Linked DNA regions of Anolis sagrei. The protein of the gene in region 3 interacts with the protein of the main gene of each other region in a biochemical or structural test. Links are inferred from orthologs where the notes say so. Each region holds a gene or a part of one and is shown on either strand. Other genes may lie near its edges.

Region 1 (7,880 bases), on a different chromosome or scaffold from region 3:
TGAGGACCAGAGGAATGAGGCCAAGCTGTAATAATAATAATAATAACAATAATAATATATTAATAGATATTATTATTACTATTACAGCCTGGGCTCATTGCTTTGGTCCTCATTGGGCCTATGATAACAACAAAAGTTTTATATTATTAAGGATTATTATTAGTTTTATTAGTATTCTTATCGATATATTATTACATTGGGCCTATGATAACAAAAACACTTTTACATTATTAAGGATTATTATTAGTATTATTACTATTATATATGTGTGTGTCTGTGTATATATATATCAGTATTACACAAACAGAGACATATATATCAGCATTATTACTCTTATAATTACTAATATAATGTATATATGTATATATTGGTATTACTGTTCTTGAGATGAAAAGCCATCTGTGTTTTAGATGGATTAGGGATCAGCTGGTTTTCCCTGTAGTAGGCAGTAAGAGCACCTAGAGTTTCGGAGAACAGACAAGCATCCTGAGCTCTGAGGATCACCTGGGAAGGAATCCCACTGGAGCATTGCAATGCACTCAAATACCTGGGAGCCACTCTGAACCGTGCTCTGACCTACAAGGAGCACTGCCTGAACATCAAGGAAAAAGTGGGTGCTAGAAACAATATCATACGAATGCTGACTGGCACAACCTGGGGATCACAACCAGACACAGTGAAGACATCCGCCCTTGCGCTATGCTACTCTGCTGCTGAGTATGCATGCCCAGTATGGAACACATCTCACCACACTAAAACAGTGGATGTGGCTCTTAATGAGACATGCCGCATTATCACGGGGTGTCTGCGCCCTACACCACTGGAGAAATTACACTGCTTAGCCAGTATTGCACCACCCGACATCCGTCGGGAAGTAGTAGCCAATAGTGAAAGGACCAAGGCAGTGACATCTCCAGCTCATCCCTTGTTTGGGCATCAGCCAGCACGCCAATGACTTAAATCAAGAAATAGTTTTCTAAGATCTACAGAGACACTCGCTGAAACACCTCAGCAAGTGAGAGTCCAAAAGTGGCAGGCTCAAACCCAGAGCCTCAATTAAGGGCTGATACCCAATGAGAGACTCCCCCCTGGGCACACAGAAAACTGGGCGACTTGGAAGACGCCGAACAGACTGCGCTCTGGCACCGCAAGATGCAGAGCCAACCTTCAGAAATGGGGCTACGAAGTGGAATCCACAACATGCGAGTGTGGAGAAGAGCAAACCACTGACCATCTGCTGCAATGCAACCTGAGCCCTGCTACATGCACAATGGAGGACCTTCTTGCGGCAACACCAGAGGCACTGGTCAAAGGACATTTAATCAACTACCAAGTTTGCAAACTCTGTGTCTTTTGTATGTTTGTTTGTTTGTTCTGTCAAAAATGTAATACAACTGACACGATAAAAAAAATATTACTATTACATATGTTTATCAGTATTACTATTATTATTACTATTATATATGCGTATGCGTGTATCAGTATTATTACTATTATATACTATACATATGTGTGTATATATTTCAGTATTATTACTATTATATATATATACTATTACATATTAATATTATTAAGAATATTATTAAATACTAATATTACTAAAACTAATAATAAGTAATATAAAAGTATTGTTGTTATTATTATTATTATACTAATATCCCACTTTGGATAGGCGCCATATCCACAGATTCTGTAATATTCCCAGAATTGGAAATATTCTGAATAAAACAATAACAATGTAAAAAATAATATAACCATAATGGAAATCTATACTATAATAATATTATATTATAAAGTAATAATAAAAGCTAGGAATAATATAAACATAACATAAAATCAAGTAGAAATGCACCCCCATTGGCCTTGGGTGAAACCTTTGGCCTGAAGCGGGCCATTCATTAACTTTGATACAGAGAAAGGAAACATTCAAAGTATTGCAATATATATAAAATATATTTCTAAATATATTAGATATATTCCTAAATATATTAAAAGTAATGCTATATATAGCAATAATTTAGGAATATTAAATACATTCCTAAATATGTTCTTAAGTATATCACTTATATTCCTAATTATATTAAAAGTATTGCTATATATATTAAATGTATTCCTCAATATATTAGATATATTCCTCTATATATATAGAGAGAGAGAGAGAGAGACTGTATATATATATATATATATATATATATATATATATATATATATATATTCCTAAATGCATTCCTATAAAAAGGTAAAGGTAGTCCCCTGACATTAAGTCCAGTCATGTCTGACTCTGGGGTGTGGTGCTCATCTCCATTTCTAAGCCGAAGAGCCAGCGTTGTCCGTAGACACCTCCAAGGTCATGTGGCTGGCATGACTGCATGGAGCGCCGTTACCTTCCCACCGGAGCGGTACCTATTGATCTACTCACATTTGCATGTTTTCGAACTGCTAGGTTGGCAGAAGCTAGGGCTGACAGCGGAAGCTCACGCCACTCCCCAGAATTGAACCTGCAACCTTTCAATCAACAAGCTCAGCAGCTCAGTGCTTTAACCCACTGCGCCACCGGGGGCTCCATTTCTATATATAATACATATTCCTAAATACATTCCTAAATGGGTCCCCTGATGGCACACCAGGTTAAACCGCTAAGCTGCTGAACTTGTTGAGTGAAAGGTTGGTGGTTCGAATCTGAGGAGTGGGGTGAGCTCCTGCTGTTAGGCCCAGCTTCCGCCAATCTAGCAGTTTGAAAATATGCAAATATGAGTAGTTCAATAGGTACAGCTTCTGCAGGAAGGTAATGGCACTCCATGCAGTCATGCCACCCACATAACCTTGGAGATGTCTATGGATAGCGCCGGCTCTTCGGCTTAGAAATGGAAATGATCACAACCTCCCAGAGTTGGACACGATTAGACTTAATGTCAGGGGAAACCTTTACTTTATATTCCTAAATATATTAGATACTAAATACCTTGAAAGTATTGCTGTATTATATATATATTCCTAAATATATTAGAAATATCCCTAAATATATAATATATATTTATACAATATATATTATATATTAAAAGTATTGCTATATATATATTAAATTTATTCCTAAACATATTCCTCAATATATTACATTCCTAGATACATTAAAAGTATTGATATATGTATATATGTGTGTGTGTGTGTATAATCTATTCCTAAATACCTTAAATATATTAAATCTATTCCTATATATATTACATATATTTATATTATATAATATATATTAAAAGTATTGCTACATATATTACACCTGTTTCTAAATCTATTCCTAAATTTGTTGTTGTTCATTCGTTCAGTCGTCTCCGACTCTTCTTGACCTCATGGACCATCCCACGCCAGAGCTTCCTGTCGGCCGTCACCACCCCCAGCTCCTTCAAGGTCAGCCCAGTCACTTCAAGGATGCCATCCATCCATCTTGCCCTTGGTCGGCCCCTCTTCCTTTTGCCTTCCACTTTCCCTAGCATCATTCCCTTCTCTAGGCTTTGCTGTCTCCTCATGATGTGGCCAAAGTACTTCAACTTTGCCTCTAGTATCCTTCCCTCCAATGAGCAGTCGGGCTTTATTTCCTGGAGGATGGACTGGTTGGATCTTCTTGCAGTCCAAGGCACTCTCAGGACTTTCCTCCAGCACCACAGTTCAAAAGCATCTATCTTCCTTCGTTCAGCCTTCCCTAAGGTCCAGCTCTCACATCCGTAGGTTACTACAGGGAATACCATGGCTTGGACTAGGCGGATCTTTGTTTCCAGTCTGATGTCTCTACTCTTTACTATTTTATCGAGACTGGACATTGCTCTCCTCCCAAGAAGTAAGCGTCTTCTGATTTCCTGGCCACAGTCTGCATCTGCAGTAATCTTTGCGCCTAGAAATACAAAGTCTATCACAGCCTCCACATTTTCTCCCTCTATTTTCCAGTTGTCAATCATTCTTGTTGCCATAATCTTGGTTTTTTTGACGTTTAGCTGCAACCCAGCTTTTGCGCTTTCTTCTTTCACCTTGATTAGAAGGCTCCTCAGCTCCTCCTCGCTTTCGGCCATCAGAGTGGTGTCATCTGCATATCTGAGGTTGTTAATGTTTCCTAAATACATCAGATATATTCCCCAATATAGTCAAACTATTTGAATATAATTTAAATCTATTCCTAATACTATTGCCCAATATATTAAATCTATTCCTAAACATATTAAGAGTATTGCTGCATGTATGTAACATATGTGTATATAACATATATTCCTACCGGAAGCCCAGGCTAGAAAAGGAAAAGGCCGCTCTGCCCCGAAGAGCCTCCAAAACCAGCTTCCGCGTAGCAGCCATTTTTTCCCTCTCCGAACCAGGAGGCGAAGGAGGGCACGCCCCTTTATTTAGGGGCGTGGCTTGGTCTCAAGAGGGGCGGGGCCGCGAGGCCTTGCTTTAGCAACAAACGTCATTCGGCCTTTCTTCCTCGAGGGGGCGCTCTTTCCCAGCCAGCCAATTACAATGGCCTTTATGGAGAGGGCGGGTCTTTGGGGGCCAAATGGCAGGCGAACGCACCAATCGGAACACTCATTACCCTTTCCCTTTAAGACAGACATCTAACACTTCGGGTTTCGTTTGAAAAGCCGAGGGGGAAAGAGTTGCTTTCCATTTTCCCGCCTCGCAAATGGCGCCTCGTTTTTCTATCGGCACCCGGAAGTATAACACATAAGCCATCTCGTAGGCACCTCTATGTCTCCTTAAAATAGGATTCCAAAAGAAAAGAATTGCCCGCTCCGCCTCTTCGGGGGCGTGGCCTATTTTCCCTCCACAACCAATAGCAAACGACGAGGAGAGGCAACCACTAGGCAGCGTTGGGCCTCAACCCCGCCTCCTGAGGGGGCGTGGCCAATGCCAACCAATCGGGAGCGGGAGAGACGAGGAGTGGCAGCTCCGGCTCCGGCGGCGGAGGTGAGGGCCGATTTCTTTTCCTTCGGGGGGGCTGTTCCCCCTTCCCTCCCCCCGCGCTTTCAGGGGGCTGTTCCGTATACCCCCCCGCACCCCTGATTTCCCCCCTTTCCTTCCGTTTTTACCCCAAAACATGAGGGAAACGGCTTTCGTAGGCCTCCCTTCCCCCTCATCTCCTCTTAAGATTGGAAAAAAGCCGTTTATGCCCCATAAGTGGCCTTTTTTGAATCAATCAATAGATAATCGATATTTATTATATCCTCGAAGGAAAAGAAACTCTTCCCTCCCCCCATTTTCCCTATAAAGCTTTCTTTGTTAATAAACCAAGCCAGAGTTTGGCTCCTCCCTCTTCCAATCCTCCCTAAAACTATTCCAATCGATCCACTGATTGATCCCTTGTCCTAACTCTTCAATACGAATCATAGGACAAGGGTCTCCCAATACAAAACACTTTTTCAGTCAGTTGATGAATCAGTCAATGGATGGACTGATCAATTGATTGATTGATGGATTGATCAATTAATCAGTTAATGGACGGATTGATCAATGATCCCATTCATTTCCCTCATAGGACAAGAAAGACACTTCTTTACCCCAAGTCTCCCAAAAAAATCCCAATAAGTATCTCTTTCAATCAATTAATCAATCAATCGATTAATTGATCCATTGTCCCACCCATCCCTGGAGAACCATTGAACACAGGGGCGGCTCAACCCATTACGCAAAGTAAGCATTTGCAGTATAGTTGATTTTCCCAGGGGCGCTCTTGGGGGAAAATAGACCTTGACATATGCAAGTTGTAGTTACTGGGATGTATAGTTCACCTACAATCAAAGAGCATTCTGCACTCCACCAATGATGGAATTGAACCAAATATGGCACACAGAACTCCCACGACAAACAGAAAATATATATCAGTGATTGGCTGGGGTGCCACAATACTGTTTGCTTACCATTGAAAATTACCTAGGGCCGCCTCTGATTGAACAAGAAATTAAAACCTTTGTCACGATAATAACTCGTCTTTCAATCAGTCACTCCAATATAAACCAATGCTTCTAAACCAACTGACTGATCGATCGATCAGGAATCCCATCCATCCGTTCAGAGCCATAAAGACTATAGAAAGCTTTCTCAACCTCAATAATAACCTCTCTTTCTATCAATCAGTCCAACATAGCCTCTCGTTTCACCAAGGCCCCTGCATCGATCGATTGTCTTATCCCTTTGTTAAGAATTATAGGACAATAGAAACCCTCCCAATCAAAACCATCTTATCAATCAAACCATCCAATGTAGCCCCTTCCTCTACTAATATTTCCCCAAACTCTTAATTGATTGATCGATCGATTAATAATGAATTGATCAATCATTGTATCTAGCTGTTAAGAACCAATATAGCACCTTGCTCTCCCCCTCCCCCAAATCCTCTAAATCACTCAGACAACTCGGCAGTCAGTCAATCTGCCTATAAATCGATTGGTCAGATCAATTGATTAATTGATCAATTGTCCCCTCCATTCTTTAAGAACCATCAGAGAATAGAAACACTCCTTTCCTCCAATTCTTCCATTTAAATCATTCAACCCGCCAATCAATCAGTCTCTGAATTGATTAATTGATATATTGATCAATCAATCAATGTATTGATTGATCAGTTCAGAGACTGATTGATCAACTGAGCGATCATCCCAAGCATCCTTTAAAAACCATAGGACACTATTCTTCTTTCTCCAATAGCACCTCACTTCAAATCATTCAACCGGCCAATTAATCATCCAATCAATCATAGATCCATTTGTAGATTGATGGATGAATCAATCAATCTATACATCGATCAGTCGATTGTTCAAGTAATCCCATCTGTTCATTAAAAAGCATAGGTTAATAGAACCCCCCCCCCCATAAAAACCTCTCTTTGAATTAATATATCCAGCGTAGCCCCTCCTTCCGCCAATATTCCGAAATCATTCAGTCAATTGATCAACAACTGAGCAATTATTAGTCTAATCCATCTACTCAGAATATAATGCCTTTTCCCCCAAAACCTACAGATCGAAACATCTCTTTAAGCCAGTCAACCAGTCAATCAATCAATCAACTTCTACACTGATCATTTTGTCCGTCTTTTGAGATGTCCAGGGCCGGATAAAGCCTTCTTTGCCTCAACCCTCTGCCCATTCCAATGGATCTTTTGGGGGGCCCTTTGGCTGCCCCCCCTTGGCGCACTTGACTTTCCGGTGGGGCCAACTAGATCTCCCAGAGGCCCTGAAGATGGCCGGCGCCATCGCCTCCCGGATGAGCTTCAGCTCCTTGAAGAGAAAGCAGCCCAAGACCTTCACCGTCCGCATCGTCACCATGGAGGCCGAGATGGAGTTCAACTGCGAGGTGAGCCGGGATTTGTAGTGTGGCCTTGGGCCAGGATTGGGTTCTGTACAGGAAAGGGCCCAAGGACACTGTTGCATGGGTGCCCTTGGACATCATCTGAACGGCTGTGACTCAGTGCTGCAGGATCCTGGGAGTAGCCCTTTGTTTTTGGGATGTATAGTGCAGCCATATATAATTTCTGTACAGGAAATGGCTGGAATAACGACGAGGGTTCTTGTGCGAGAAATCTCCAGGATGGCCTAAGCCTAATGGCATTATGGGATTTGTCGTTGGGCAAGGCTGCAAAAAATTATTATTTATTTATTTGCTACATTTGTATACCACCTCTCTCAGCCTGCAGGTGACTCTAGGTCTTGGGAAACTACAACTCCCAGGGCCTTGTAGCATTACAGTGGCACTCAACTGTATTCTAGCAGTGTCAATGGCACCCTTGGACTACGGTAGTGATAGTATTCCAAGGGGCTTTGAGGCCAGAAAAGCCTCCAAAAACCAGACAGTCTCCATGTTACAAACACCTGACTAGTTAAGAACAGGGGTGCTGCAAAGCAAAA
Region 2 (8,063 bases), on a different chromosome or scaffold from region 3:
GTAGATCTTTTGAAAAATCAATTTTGCTATGGTAACCTGGCATTCACGCAGCCTTTGCAAAGGAATTCTTGTGTCATGGAAAAGTCAAGTGCATGTTCTTTGTCTCACTGCAAGACTTGAACTCTCCTGCCCCTGTTTTTCTCTTTCCTGGGGTTATGTGATTTGATTTCATGTGTAATGCTGCCCTAAAGTATAGGAACATTTATACAAGATGCCAATATTTCATTTACTATCTAATAATTAACCAAAACAGATTTAAATTGCCTGTCCTATGGACATTGGACCCTTTTGTCAAGAATGAATCTGAGCTTGTTGTGAATTTTCTGATTGTATAAAGCATGAGACAGCAAAATATCTCTTGGATAATTTAGCATGATTCAAAGCAGTCTGTGTGGGAGGAAGGAAGAAAATATTGTGGATCATATTATTATTAACAGTCGGGGATAGGTGAAGATTTTAATCTTGCGAAGTATCTCCTTAACTTCCACCCTGGTTGATGTGGTCAGCCCTGGAATTAACATTTTGCAATCCACTCCTTCCCAATTAAAATTTATGACTTCTAGAGTTCAGAAAGTTAGCAGAAAAAGGTTAACATATGTGTTAAGATCCTATGTCATTGCTCGCAGAGCATAATTCTGCAGAAATTTATTTATTATTTATTTGTTCATTTATATACCGCTTTCCTCACCCCTGGGGGGACTCAGCTGTTTCCAACATATTCATGACAAAATTCAATGCCTTACAAAACATGAAACCTAACATAAAAACACACAATCCAGAAGCATGGTTCAGGGCGTTCCAGTATCAAATAACAATTGTACATAATCCATGTTCATTTCTTGTCCTGCTTACTGCCCAAATGCTTGGTTCCACAGCCATGTTTTTGCTTTTTTTTCTGAAGTCCAAGAGGGAGGGCGCTAATCTAATTTCGTTGGGGAAGGTATTCCATAGACAAGGGGCCACCACAGAGAAGGTCCTGTCTCTTGTCCCCACCAGTCGCGCCTGCGAAGAAGGTGGAACTGGGAGCATGGTGTCCCAAGAAGATGTTAGCCTCTGAGATGGTTCATAGAGGGAGATATGTCCGGACAGGTATAGTTCGATGTCTGTGCTTTCTCCTAATTTTCATGTCACTTTTAAACTGACATTTATACTATGTTACATTACTACAACAAACCAGCATGGTAGAGTGGCGTGAGCACTGGACTACAACTCAACAGCAGGAATAACATGACTACCATAAAAACCTTAATGCCAGGAAGATGATAAATTTCATCCATGCTTTACCACATCCCTGTCCATATTTTGAGCTTTGGAGAGAAAGAAACAATTGCAAGAATTCTGAAAACCCAGTTTCTCATCCACCTCTCTCCACCTGTTTCTCTTGCTTTCTCTTTTTCTTGCCTATATAATTTCATTTTCTTAAATTCTCCCGATCTTTAGATTGCTTTTCCTCATCTGAATGCCAATTAAAGTAATACATACATACATAGTTTAAGAGCTTCACAATTCAGTTTCCTGGGACTTGTTTTTCTGCAGAGTTCAGTGCTGAATACAGAAGGACCATCTGGATGCAAAAGGTACCACCAGCTACCAAACTATCTCTACTAAAGATTAGACTCCTTACTTTGGGAATTTTGAGCATTCGCACAATTAAAACTTGTGCACTAGCTGTGCTTGTACCTTGGGAGGTCAGATTTGGCCACGGTAGTCCATGCTCTAGTTACATCCCAAGATTACTGCAACGCGCTCTATGCAGGGTTGCCTTTAAATACTGTTCAGAAGCTTACAATGGACAGCAGCCAGGCCGATCACCAGAGTGGCGTACAGGGAGCATCTAACCCTTTTGTTACATCAGCTCCACTGACTTCCAGTCTGCTACCAAGCACAATTCAAAGTGCTGGCTTTAGCCTATAGAGCCCTAAACTATTCCGGCCCAGCTTACCTGTCCGGATGTATCTCCCTCTATGAACCATCATGGGGAGGCCCTGCTTTTGGTCCTGCCTCCATCACAGGCGCGATTGGTGGGAACAAGAGACAGGGCCTTCTCCATGGTGGCCCCTCAGCTGTTGAATTCCCTCTCCAGTGATATTAGAGCAGCTCCCTCCCTCCTGGTCTTCAGAAGGAAAGTGAAAACCTGGCTCTGGGATCAAGCCTTTGGAGATTAACGATATTGAATAATAGCATTGAAATATGTGCAATTGATCTTTGGAACGGCCCTGAATTATGATTGAGGATGGTGTGATTTTAATAGTGAATGCAATGTTTTATATGTTTTAATGTGCATTTAATTTTATTTTTAATTTCAGTTTTAGCTTAAGTGTATTCTGTTTGTTGTCCAAAGGTTGCCATATGTAAAGCCGCCTTGAGTCCCCTTCGGGGTAGAGAAAGGCATGATACAAATAGAGTAAATAAATAATAAATAAATTTCCTCCACTGAGTTCAAGGTGGCACATGTGGCTGTTGTTTACATTTTATTGTCACAATATTCCAGAGAGCCAATTAAACTGAGAAATAGTGAGTCCCTGATTGAGTTTCATAGCTACATAGGGATTTGTATCTAAATATGCCAGTCCAATATAACATTTTTTTTTACATCAGATAAATACATTTCAAAATCAAATTTGTACACTAGCTTTTCAATTCATATCTGTCTGCTAGGTTTTAACAAATAAAATCTGCCAAAATTCCTCATTGTAGTTCAGGGTACCTGAAATGAAACATATCTCAACATGTTCATTCATCAGTGAATATTTACCTTAGCTTGGCAAAACTTGAAACATTCTTCAGTTTGTAGAACTGGATTTTTGTGATGCATTACATTTGAATATATTTATTATAAAAAGTGATTTGTAAAGTAGTGGAAATCATTTCCTGGAATTACTTTCTTTTTTCTGGACTTTTTTTGAGGTTCACTTGGATTTTAAACATTCACAGGAATGTTTGACATGAGAGATATGGATCATTTACTAATATTAGAAATAAAGTAGAGGGAATCAACCACTTCAAAAGCCTTTTTAAATCATCCCACTGGAACTACTCTTTAGTAAATGGCTTGGTTTTGCGACCTATATCTTGCAATTAACAAACCCTAATGGGATAAAAAAAACAAACACCACACGCTTGTTTTGCAGAACCCCAAATAAACTAGGGTTTGGAAAATAAACCAATTTTAATTATTTCTGAATTTGTACTGAAATTCCCCCAGTCAATCACTTTAGTTAAAAAACGGAGTCCCCGGTGGCTCAATGGGTTAAACCCTCCCTTGTACTGGCAGGGCTGCTGACTGAAAAGTTGGTGGTTTGAATCCGGGGAGCGTCTGTCAGAGAGAAGCCACCCACAAGATGGTAAAACATCTGGGCGTCCCCTGGGCAACGTCCTTGCAGACGGCAAATTCTGTCACATCAGAAGCAACTTGCAATTTCTCAAGTCGCTCCTGACATGAAAAAAAAGATTAAAAACAATTAATTTGCCCCTTTTGGTTAGTACATTTCCAACGTAATTAATAATTCAATTGATTTATGTATTTTTTACATCATCCAGTATAGAACCAGCCTGTGAAACTGGATATTGTGACATTAAGGTACTTGTTGATGCTTGTTTGGCTGTGCTATGAACATACAGCAACCAAGTAGCAACAGTAAGAACAGACCATGTAACAACAGACTGGTTCAAGATGGGGAAAGGAGAATGGCAGGGCTGAGCTGTATACGTTCACCCTACCTATTTAACTTGTATGCAGAACAACCTTAGATATGCTGATGATACTGCTTTGATGGCTGAAAGTGAGGAGGAGCCAAGGAGTCTTCTAACCAAGGTGAAGGGAAAAAGTGCAAAAGCTGGGTTACAGTTAAACATAAAAAAACCCAAGATTATGGCAACCATACTGATTGATATCTGGCAAAAGAGGGAGAAAACGTGGAGACAGTGACAGACTTTGTATTTCTGGGCACAAAGATTACTGCAGATGCAGACTTCAGCCAGGAAATCAGAAAATGTTTACTTCTTGGGAGGAGAGCAATGACCAATCTCAATAAAATAAGAGTAGAGACATCACACTGCCAATGAAGATCTGCATAGTTAAAGCTATGGTATTCCTCATAGTAACCTACGGATGTGAGAGCTGGACCATATGGAAGGGTGAGCGAAGGAAGATAGACGCTTTTGAACTGAGGTGCTAGAGGAAAATTCTGAGAGTCCCTTGGACTGTGAGAAGATCAAACCAGTCCATCCTCCAAGTAATAAAGCCCCACTGCTCACTGGAGGGAAGAATATTAGAGGCAAAGATGAAGTACTTTGGCCACATCATGAGAAGGCAGAAAAGCTTGGGGAAGATAATAATGCTGGGGGAAATGGAAGGAAAAAGGAAGAGGGGCCGACCAAGGGCAAGATGGATGGATGGTATCCTTGAAGTGACTGACTTGATCTTGAAGGAGCTGGGGGTGGTGATGGCTGACAGGGAGCTCTGGTGTGGGCTGGTCCATGAGGTCACGAAAAGTCAGAAGTGACTGAACAAATAAACAACAAAACAATGAACATACAGAGACAAACTGCCTGGCTGGGATAACTGGATTTCGCCCCATCTGTAACTGAGCAGTGTCATTTCAGAATCCCTTTGGAACAAAAAATGAACAGGTAGTAAACTTCCATACCTAAGTTGGGTCTGTCCTAGATAACACTGAAGATGAGACCGGTATGTGAAATTATCCGATGTGGAAAACAAGCAGTGTTTATCATCTTGATAAGTATAAGAGCAGTTTTCTCTTATATCACCTCTGGAAAAGTGGAATTATTTATCTGCTAGACTGAGGTCAGTTACATCTTGAGACTTTTAAAATCCAAGACGACATAATGCTCTGCACTGAGTCCATTTCATTTTATATCTTCTAAAATCCTGCTCCAGACTACTATATTCAAGTTTCACAAATCTGATTCATGAGGCTAAACATGCATCTGGAGTTAACGATTAATGTCCTGTCACTGTGTGATTGTTCCAAAGGCCCCTCTGTTGAGCATGTGGGACTTTTGCCCTGTTCAGCTTCCTGGGATTGATAAATCAGTTGGACAAGGACAAGAGAAGAGAGAGCCTCGCCATGGCGATGACAGCCTTGGGGGAGTTCTGTGGCTCTGTTTTCTGGGTAAGTAGCAGCCTCTTCTACCCAAATCTGTTACTCAGGGTCCTTCCGCACAGCCATATAACCCAGAATATCAAGGCAGAAAATCCCACAATATCTGCTCTGAACCGATCAACCTAGCAGTTCGAAAACATGCAAATGTGAGTAGATCAATAGGTACCGCTCTGGCAGGAAGGTAACAGCGCTCCTCACAGTCATGCCGGCCACATGACCTTGGAGGTGTCTACGGACAACACCGGATCTTCGGCTTAGAAATGGAGATGAGCAGCAACCCCCAGAGTCAGACACGATTGGACGTAATGTCAGGGGGAAATCTTTACCTTTTATCTGAGTCCACACTGCCATATATTCCAATTCAAAGCAGATAATATGGGATTTTATTCAGCTGTGTGGAAGGGGCTTCCGTTTCCAACAGAGCTAATTATGACGACGGCGACACTGTGACACTCCAAGAGGTTGCAGACATCTGTCTTGAACGATGGGAGTATGCCGTACAGCCAGTGTTGTGGCTGTTTGATGAGGATTTGGGACAGCTGTGTATATGTGTCATTGCCTTGAACACACACAGCAAATTCAGTGTGATTGTGGTTGTAAGATTAATAAGCTATCCTCATTGAATGCTGTTGTTTCAAAGATATACTAAGCTTTGGGAATGCTATACCTCTCATTATACTACCTATTATGAATAATCTCAGAGTTCTTTTCTCCTTGGAAAGCTCCCCCTTGGTTCTCATTAATATCTTTTCCGCTGCTTTATTGGATAGGGGAGCTTCAGAACATGCGTGGAGAACATGCAACTAGTAACTTTTTCAAAAACAGAAAGAGAAGACATGGTTCCACCTAGAATGAGCTACATGATATATCAGAATTCCATATTTACTTGAACAGTAGTGTGTTTTTTTTTTTCATTTTCATGAGTGCTGGGAGACTGAAGGATCAATATGAAAGTGGGGTAACTGTGATCAAAAAAACACATTCTTTTTATCTGAGGGCTTTCCTACACTGCCGTAAAATCCAGACTATCAATGCATTTTTATTGTGTCAGAAGCAACCAAATAATATATTGCAAGTCGCTTCTGGTGTGAGAGAATTGGCTGTCTGCATGGATGTTGCCCAGGAGATGCCCGGATGTGTTATCATCCTCTCCCATGTCCCCGCATGGGAAGCTGGGGCTGACAGATGGGAGCTCACCCTATCTCACAGATTCGAACTGCCGACCTTCAAGTCTTCAGGTCAGCACTTCAGCCGGCACAAAGGTTTAACTCATTGTGCCACTGCAGCTCCTATCAAGGCAGATAATCCACATTATCTGCTTTGAATTGGATTATCTGAGTCTACAGTGCCATAAAATCCAGTTCAAAGCAGATAATCTAGATTTTATACAGCTGTGTAGAAGGGGCCTGAGAGAATACTTATAGGAATTTTAGGTCATCTAGTATGATTCTGTGGTCAACCTCCTGAAATCATGCTAAAAACCCCAGAGATTCCTAGCAAGATGATGGTCCCTTCCACACAGCTGGATAAAATCCCACATTATCTGCTTTGAACTGGAATATATGGCAGTGTGGACTCAGACAACCCAGTTCAAAGCAGATATTGTGGGATTTTCTGCCTCGATATTCTGGGTGGTATTTCTGCCTGTGTAGAAGGGTCCCATATCAATTATATCTGTGATTAATTAAATCCTCTAAAGTTAAATGCACAAATGTGGTGGGCAGATTAGAACACACTGCTTCTGTATCCCAGGATCTGATCCCAGGTTATCATCTTATCCCAGATTATCTGGCAGTGGAGACTCATAGAATCCAGTTAAAAGCAAATAATCTGGGATGGGATCCTGGGAATATAGGGTTGTGTAGAAGGGGCCTTAGATTATTATTAGGATCCAATCAAGAAAAAACAACAACCCAGAAAGCGGAGAATGTGTAGTTAATGGGTAGAATAGTCCTTAGTCATGATGAGTCACACATGACCTCATCACACATGACCTCATCACAGTCGGAATAATGGTGACCAGTTAAAAGTGTTATGTATTTGGATGCATGTGGCCTTGTACAAAGGGTCAGTAAAATCGCATCTGCAATTGGATGATAACTAAGCTAGAACAAACAAACTGTTGTAAGACCTCTCTAATTCACTGAGGGCAAAAGAACAAGAAAGTTATTAGCTGATAACAGAAGACCAGAAAACAACTAAACCTAAAACAAATAATATATTATTAGGTTACTATATAAAATAATCCTGAGCAGGTAAGACCGCATGCAATCTATGGTTCCTTCTACACTGCCATGTAATCCAGATTATCAAAGCAGATAATCCACATTACCTTCTTTGAATCGGATGATATGAATTTATACTGTTCAAAGCAGATAACCTGGATTTTATACAGCTGCATAGAAGAGGCCTGCAACTGTGGATCATGTTTCCAAAAGGTACCAAATCCATCTGAACAAATGTTACAGGAATAAAAAAAAACCATGGTGAGGTCATGCAGTCTTTTGCTATATAATGCAATTTTCGAGTCCTTATACCCAAGTGATTTGACACATTTTTATAGTTTTGATCTATACATAATATTCTATTCATAGCCAACAACATGCTGCCACCTATGCCTCATTTTTCAATTTTTTGGATTTGGTACCTTTTGGAAACGAACTCCACAACTGACTGCTTCTTGGTAAACAGATACATGTCCTATAGATAGATAGAGATATATAGATATAACAGGCAACTCTGTTTTGTGATTCCATTGGAAAAGTATGGCAAGTCAATACCATGTCGTGGTTTGAGCATTGGACTACTTCTCTGTAGATCAGGTTTCCAATTCCCACTCAGCCATGAAAACCCACTCGGTGATTTTGGGCAAGTTGCTCTCTCTCAGCCTCAGAAGAAGATAAAAATCAAATCCCCTCTGAATAAATTTGGTAAAAG
Region 3 (8,034 bases):
TGTAAATGGGAGCAGGTAGTTGTCTTGTTTGGAACCAAATACAGATATGGAATCAACAGATCTGATGCCTAGGTCAAACCATATAGGGATGGTCTGATTCTTAATACTCAAGCTGCTACTCCAAACTGAGCTAGAAGGATTAGCACGAGTCAAAAACACAATAAAAGCTCCAAATACGCATGCAGAGAAGTATCTTCCCATGATGAAACACTTCCTGTGCTGATGAATGCAGTAGCTGGAGAAACCATTTCTCTGCCAACACCCTCGGAGGACAGGCTGCGGCCTCTTCCTTCCCTTGTGTTCCCCAGTCTGCTTGGTGCATGCAGCTTGTGGTTTGGCTCCCTGATTAAAAAAAACCCCTGTGCAGTTGACAAACCATGGGAAGAAATTGCCTTTTGGGTTTAATTATAAATAAAGGGTGTTGCAGCCATTTTAAAATACAAGGATGCTTCGATCATTCTAGCACATTTAGATAGCCTTGAGGAAACTTGGGCAAGTGTTTGCATCACAACCTATCTTATCCTGAAAATACGGTATAAGTCCAAACATAGCTTGGAGGTACATTCAAGAGTGTGGTTGGAAATACATTCCACACAAAATGGTGGAATCAATATGAAATCTTAACGGGTTTCAATAAAGAACTGAGATTTCCTATGTTCAGGTCTGCACTTATTTACTTACTTACTCTATTTGAATCCCACGTTTCTCTACCCCGAAGGGGAATCAAGGCAACTATTCAATGCCGTTGAACAACAAACAGTTAAAATACATTAAGTTAATGATTTAAAAATTAAAATTAAATTCACATTAAAACATATAAAACATTGCAATCACTATTCAAAAATGGCGCGATCCACATTCGTAATCTGGGACTGTTCCAAAAGTCATTGCACATAATTACATAGCTATTATTGTGCTATAGTTAATCTCTGAAGGCTTGACTCTAGGGCCAGGTTTTCACTTTCCTTCTGAAGGCCAGTACGATAACATACTTCCGTTTGCAAACAACCACACTCTCCATGGATCTGGGGCAGGAGTACTTGGAAACAGGTTAGAGGCAACTCTACTATTAAACAAAATGAAGGGGTAACCTCAAGCAGCAGATTCTGGGAGGTGGCAACAAGGTATTGGTAGAGACAATTGGGTGCCTGCCTTGTTCCCTAAAACTAGCCACCTGTGTGCATGAGAAGATGCTGCTCCATCTCTAGTGGTGAGGAATGACTCAAGGACCAAACCATTTGGGTTTGGTGCATGGAATGAGGGGGACACTATGTCGCCTCCTGCCTCAGGCGGCAAAATGTTTTGCACTGAAGAAGATCTACATTTGCTTGACATAATGTGTGAAATGTCTTGTTCATTGTGTGTCATGATTTCTGACTCTGAAGAAACAATTAATGCATGATCCATGGTTCTTCATGTTGCTTCCTTCTACGACAGAAAGGATTTGGAAACAATATTAGAATTATAGAGTAGACTCATAGAATCTAGTTGGAAGAGATCCCAAGGACCATTTAGTCCAACCTGCTGCTATGCAGGAACACAGAATCAAAGCACTCCTGACAAGTGGCTATCCAGCTTCTGGTTTAAAATCTCCAGAGAAGGAGATTCCACCACACTTTGAGGCAGCAGCCTATTTTACTGCCGGACGGCTCTTAATGTCAGGAAGCTCTTCCTAATGTTTAGGTGAAATCCCTTTTCCTGCAGTTTGAATCCCTTGTTCCTAGTTTCCAGAGCACCAGAAGCAAGCTTGTCCCCTCCTCAATATGACATCCTTTCAAATATTTAAACATATTTATCATATCCCCTCTCAGCCTTCTTTTCTCCAAGTTAAACAAACCCTAAACATACCTTCTTCTTCAAGGTCACCCCAGTACTCTGTGGTTGTAGATATCTTTACAACCTATAAACCAGTGGTTCTCAACCTGTGGGTCCCCAGTTGTTTTGGCCCACAACTCCCAGAAATCCCAGCCAGTTTTCCAGCTGTTAGGATTTCTGGGAGTTGAAGGCCAAAACATCTGGGGACCCACAGGTTGAAAACCACTGCATAAACAAAGCCATTATGGCCACACAGTTATGATTATCTGGGATGTGCACTCAGGGGATGGCCTATGACTTAATTCCCCTGCATGGTTTTGATCTTTCCTGGCAGAGGACACTTTGCTTCAATAAGGCAGAGGAATATGCTCACCTGTTTCAACCCTTTATTTCAAGTTTATAGTGACATTGCTAGAGTTTGTGTCACCTCCATGAATCATACCCCAATACTGCAGTTACAATACCAGAAAATCTGACAATTTCAATGGTTATTTTAAAAACAGCAGCAACAAAGCAATAACACATCCTGGTAACATGTGAAGAGGAAACTGTGCGGTTCATGCTTGTGTGTCATTGTAAGTGGATAGTAATGACAACTTTGACTGGAGTGCATGCACATCACCATTATTATATTTACTTGTGTCCTGCTTTATTTTGGAACCTTAGTGGCATTAGAAGGTTCCAAAAGTAAATTAGCTTTTAAAGCTAAGGCCACTTCATGGTCCCTCAGACTGTTGATTATAGACTGCCAGATCATAGTTTGGAAGAAAAAAAATGAACGAATTCTTATACACACTACAGGTATCTTATTTGTAGAACAATTTTAACCAACATAAGCATACCAGTATTTCAATGGCAAGTGAGGGCCTGCTTTTGGCAGATGGGAGAGTCAAGTTAATTAGGATTGCTGTTGTTGTGTGCCTTCACATTGTTTCAGATATAAGGTGACCCTCAGTCTTCAGTTTAGGATGAGGGTAAATGGGTTGCCTTGGAGGGCTGCATTCAGCCTGCAGGTCTTAGTTTGGGGACCCCTGGCCTAGAGATTCAAGCTTGGAAGCATATTGATACACTACATGTAAACTGGACTTCTTAAAACAGTTTTTTTCTGATTATTATCTACAGGAATATCATTTATTTATTTTAAAATGGATGAAATCTCGCACAAAAATATAACACTATGCAACAAAATTTGAAAATAAATCTGTTCCTGGTTTGAAAGTGTTGTTTCCTGTATAATTGTGTGATACTTACTTTGAGGGTAGTTGTTATACTCCAGAAACGTAGTTTTTGTGGCTGTCACAAACTATGTTGAATTGTCTGGGACTTTATGAGATATTTATTGAAAAACTACAGCAAAATGTGCTGCAGGATGTCTCTCAAAAACAAGGCTTTTGCAACGTGTTGCCGAAGGCTTTCATGGCTGGAATCACTGTGTTGTTGTGAGTTTTCCGGGCTGTAAGGCCATGTTCCAGAAGCATTCTCTCCTGACGTTTAGCCCACATCTGTGGCCGGCTGGCATCCTCAGAGGTTGTGAGGTTTGTTGGAAACTAGGCAAGTGTGGTTTACATATCTGTGAATGTCCATGGTGGGAGAAAGAACTCCTGTCTGTTTGAGGTGTGGAAGTTGCAATTGGCCACCTTGATTAGCATTGAATAGCCTTGTAGCTTCAAAGCTTGGCTGCTTCCTGCCTGGGGGAATAATAGAATCACAGAACCCTGAAACTGGGAGAGACCTCGTTGGCCATCCAGTCCAACCCCCTGCCAAGAAGCTGGAAAATCACATTCAAAGCACTCCTGACTGATGGCCATCCAGCCTCTGTTTAAAAGCTTCCAAAGAAGGAGCCTCCACCACACGCTGGGGCACAGAGTTCCACTGCTGAACAGCTCTTACCATTAGGAAGTTCTTCCTCATGTTCACCTTTGCTGGGAGGTGATTAGCCGGCTTTGGTTGCTTCTTGTCTGGAATTCCCCTGTTTTTGAGTGTTTAATAAACTTTTCCCATGCTTGTTATGATATAACTATTTAGGATATGACATTTATAATCCAAGAACAAAAATCATGTTACACAGCTTGGTAGTTGTTTTGGTGTCACCCGCTTGAGTTGGGATCCCCCTAGTGCAGGGGTCCTCAAACTAAGGCCCGGGGGCCAGAAGCGGCCCTCCAAGGTCATTTACCCGGCCCTCGCTCAGGGTCAACCCAAGTCTGAAACGGCTTGAAAGTACACAACAACAACAATGCTATCTCATCAGCCAAAAGCAGGCCCACACTTCCCATTGAAATACTAATAAGTTTATTTTTGTTAAAATTGTTCTTCATTTTAATTATTGTATTGTTTTTAAGTGGTTTTTTTTTTTGCACTACAAATAAGATATGTGCAGTACCCATAGGAATTCATTCATGTTTTTTTCAAATTATAATCCGGCCCTCCAACAGTTTGAGGGACTTTGACCTGGCCCTCTGTTTAAAAAGTTTGAGGACCCCTGCCCTAGTGACACCATTGCAAGTTGGGTCTATTTGAGTCCCTTAAACCCAACTTGGGGCCCTTCCACACAGCCCTATATCCAGAATATTAGAAAGAACTTCCTGACTGTGAGAGTTGTTCAGCAGTGGAACTCTCTGCCCCGGAGTGTGGTGAAGGCTCCTTCTTTGGAAGCTTTTAAACAGAGGCTGGATGGCCATCTGTCGGGGGTGCTTTGAACGCAATTTTCCTGCTTCTTGGCAGGGGTTGGACTGGATGGCCCATGAGGTCTCTTCCAACTCTATGATTCTAATATCAAGGGAGAAAATCCCACATCATCTGAGTGTGGACTCAGGTAATCCAGTTCAAGGCAGATATTGCGGGATTTTCTGCCTTGATATTCTGGGATATAGGGCTGTGTGGAAGGGCCCTTGGAAGGAAGCATCGACTGTTACAGAAAGAAGTTTTAGTAACTTGGGTGGGAATGGATAGAACTTTTCTCCGTCCTTCTCCAAGCAACCAATCAGGAAGGAGGGGAGGGCTTCTCCGTGTCCACTATTTACATATTCCCTCCTCCCTTTCAAGGTCTCAGCCTCGGAGGGGGCGGGTCCGTAGAGCCTGACTCCTCCCTCTCGCGGAGCCCATTGGTCCAACTAAGGTGCTTGGCTCCGCCCCTTGAATAAAAATCTCCCCGCGGCGCTCGGGAGTGCTCAGAGCGCGAGGGACGAGCCGCGATTGGCGGAGAGGCGGCAACTTCTTGGGCTTGTCTTAGTTTCCGAGCGTGGTCCCGCCCCTCGCGAAGGAGCACCTGCTGCTTCTCTTGGCCGAGTGGCGAAAGAAGGAAGGAAGGAAGGCAGGGAGGAAGATGGACAACGGGGGAGGGAACGAGCTCCTGCCCCGGCTCTGCTGCCCGGAGAAGGGCGCCAACGGCTACGGCTTCCACTTGCACGGCGAAAAGGGCAAAGTGGGCCAGTTCATCCGGCTGGTGGAGCCCGACTCGCCCGCCGAGAAGTCCGGCCTCCGCGCCGGCGACCGCCTGGTGGAGGTGAACGGCGAGAACGTGGAGCAGGAGAGCCACCAGCAAGTGGTCAGCCGCATCCGGGGCTCGCCGGGCTCCGTGCGGCTCCTGGTGGTCGACGCGCCCACCGACGAGCGCCTCCAGAAGCTGGGCCTCCGACCCCGCGAGGAGCTCCTCCGAGGGCTGCCCGGGGAAGACGGCGAGCGGGAGGAGGAGGAGGAGAGCCAGGAGGGGCCGAGGGGCAGCCCAGCGCCCAAGGAGGAGGAGGAGGAGAAGAAGGAGGAAGAGGAGAAGGAGGAGGAGGACAAGAAGGAGGAGGAGGGGAAAGCGGCCGAGGAGGGCGAGGAAGCCAACCACGTCCCCCCGCGGGTGAGTCTCGGGGTCACTCCGGGGGGGGGGGGGAGGGCCAGGGCTGGGCGGGTTCAAGGCCGGAGAAGCCTTTCCGCTCCAAGCCCGGCCAGGATGCCGCCACGCCGGAGAAGGAATGCCTGCCCTCCACTGCCCGGGCTCAAGGCCACGGGGTCCTGGGGTTTGGGGAGGGAGGCAAGCAGGCAGGCCTTGGGAAAGCCAGAGAGAGATGCATCTATACCAAGCACGGGCAAACTTAGGCCCTCCACCTCTTTTGGACTTCAACTCCCACAATTCCAGCTTATTAGGAACTGTGGAAGTTGAAGCCCAAAGCACCCGGAGGACTGAAGTTTTCCTGTGCCTGGTCTACACTGTAAGGTTAATGCATTTGTGACACCACATTCATCGCCTGGCTCAATGCTATGGGATCCTAGGAGATGTAGTTTGGGAAGACACCAGCACTCCATGGAGAAACTCTATATACTCCCTCCAATGGATGATGTCCTTGGGGAAACTATATATACTCCTTCAAATGAATGAAGTCCTTGAGAAAACTTTATATCCCTCAAATGGATGAAGTTCTTGGGAAAACTATATATACTCCCTCCAGTGAATGAAATCCTTGGGAAAACTATATATACTCCCCCCCCCCCCCCCCATGAATGAAGTCCTTGGGGAAACTATATATACTCCCTTGGATGGATGAAGTCCTTCGGAAAACTATATATCCTCTCTCAAATGGATGAAGTCCTTGGGAAAACTATATATACTCCCTTGAATGAATGCTGTCCTTGGGAAAACTGTATATACTCCCTCGAATGAATGAAGTCCTTGGGAAACTATTCCATCGACTGAATGTGCTTTGACACCCAATTTAACTGCCATGGCTCCAATCTATGGAATCCTGGGAGTTGTAGTTTTAGCCCTCTCTGCCCAAGAGTGCTGGTGCCTCAACAAACTGCAACTCTCATGATCATCCTAGTCTTCTTGATACTGTGGCAGAGGAGTCATGGTAGTGGCAATGTGCCACGTGGGGTGGCTGGGCTTTCCTTGAAGAGGGAGTGCAGAGCCCTTCTGATCTGGCTTGCCAGCTTCCTTTGCAACAGGTCCTGTGGTTTTCTCTTGCTGTTGCTTCAGTCCTGCTGCCTGTTTTCTTTGGGTGCTGGGGAATAATAGTCCCTCTCGGGCTCCTCTCTCTCCTGGCTCTCTTTCTCTTTCATTATGAAATGTGACCTCCTTCTTGAAAGCCTGGGCCACTTCCGCTGCCTGTGAGCTGAATGCAAGCCCAGCTGGCAGCGCTGCTTTGTCGCAAGTTGCAAAAGGAAGTCTGGGTGGCTAAGAGAATACTTAGGGCACATCTACACAGCGGAAGGAATGCAGTTTGACACTCCTTTAACTGCTCTGGCTCATTGCTATGGAATCCTGGGAGCTGCAGTTTTCCAAAATCTTCAACCTTTTTTTGCCAAAGAGGGCTGGTGTCTCACCAAAATGCATATTCCAGGATTCCGTGGCAGCTAAAATTGTCACAAATAGGTTGCTATGAGTTTTCTGGGCTGTATGGCTATGTTCCAGAAGCATTCTCTCCTGATGTTTCGCCCACATCTATGACAGGCATCCACAGAGGGATGCCATAGATATGGGCAAAAAATCAGGAGAGAATGATTTTGGAACATGGCAGGCATCCTCAGAGGGATGCCATAGATGTGGGCGAAACATCAGGAGAGAATGCTTTTTGAACATGGCAGGTATCCTCAGAGGGATGCCATAGATGTGGGTGAAACGTCAGGAGAGAATGCTTCTGGAACATGGCCATACAGCCTGGAAAAATCACAGCAACCCAGTGATTCCGGACATGAAAGGCTTCGACAACACAAGGTTACAAATAGCTTTATTTCTGCTGGGCAAGCATTATTTCTACAGGGCAGATATACCTTTAGGAAGAGTTCATAAGCCTGTTGCTTGGTGCCCTGCTCTGTGTCAAAAAGATTGCCACCTGTAGACAGATCAGTGCTTTCTTTAGGAAATTGCAAAAGGCTTTGGGTGGGAGGACGTAAGATTTCCCCTTTTCCTAATATGAAATCACTTGAGTGTCAAGAACATCTCATGGATTGCGTACTTTGCGTGTTATATCAGCTCTCTTTTCTGGGAGACACCTGACTTGGGACACAAGTTTGTCGCTCCTCTTCAGCTGTGCTCTGTAGCTGGAAAGGCTTTCTTGATTGCTATGAGACTCCAGTCATAGTGTAATTATTAACATAATTTAAAACATAGAAAGAAATTAAATCCAGAGCTTTTCAATAGACCAACTTTGGATGGAGTTTTGGTATTGTGCTTTACTTAAAATTCCCCTTCCTTGTGTTCCACGGTGCAGTTTTGCACTTGCTTGTTGAGAAGTA

What was found. The genes of interacting proteins can lie anywhere in the genome.
Region 1: the proteins of NHERF1 (region 3) and NF2 form a complex in vitro, tested with the Homo sapiens proteins (2 studies listed by BioGRID). The link is inferred for Anolis sagrei from reciprocal best matches to the Homo sapiens genes NHERF1 and NF2.
Region 2: the proteins of NHERF1 (region 3) and ABCC2 form a complex in vitro, tested with the Homo sapiens proteins (2 studies listed by BioGRID). The link is inferred for Anolis sagrei from reciprocal best matches to the Homo sapiens genes NHERF1 and ABCC2.

Annotation. Positions count from the first base shown.
Region 1 is NC_090034.1:48,741,677-48,749,556, forward strand, and holds the start of NF2 (merlin), read left to right. Parts: upstream 1-4,854; 5' UTR 4,855-4,884; coding exon 4,885-4,944; intron 4,945-7,075; exon of another isoform or gene 7,076-7,083; coding exon 7,084-7,329; intron 7,330-7,880. Other genes in the region: NIPSNAP1 (protein NipSnap homolog 1), read right to left, coding at 4,259-4,335. UniProt on the Homo sapiens protein: Probable regulator of the Hippo/SWH (Sav/Wts/Hpo) signaling pathway, a signaling pathway that plays a pivotal role in tumor suppression by restricting proliferation and promoting apoptosis.
Region 2 is NC_090023.1:218,845,591-218,853,653, forward strand, and holds the start of ABCC2 (ATP-binding cassette sub-family C member 2), read left to right. Parts: upstream 1-5,037; 5' UTR 5,038-5,090; coding exon 5,091-5,135; intron 5,136-8,063. UniProt on the Homo sapiens protein: ATP-dependent transporter of the ATP-binding cassette (ABC) family that binds and hydrolyzes ATP to enable active transport of various substrates including many drugs, toxicants and endogenous compound across cell membranes.
Region 3 is NC_090022.1:116,222,072-116,230,105, forward strand, and holds the start of NHERF1 (Na(+)/H(+) exchange regulatory cofactor NHE-RF1), read left to right. Parts: upstream 1-4,971; 5' UTR 4,972-5,137; coding exon 5,138-5,659; intron 5,660-8,034. UniProt on the Homo sapiens protein: Scaffold protein that connects plasma membrane proteins with members of the ezrin/moesin/radixin family and thereby helps to link them to the actin cytoskeleton and to regulate their surface expression. Necessary for recycling of internalized ADRB2.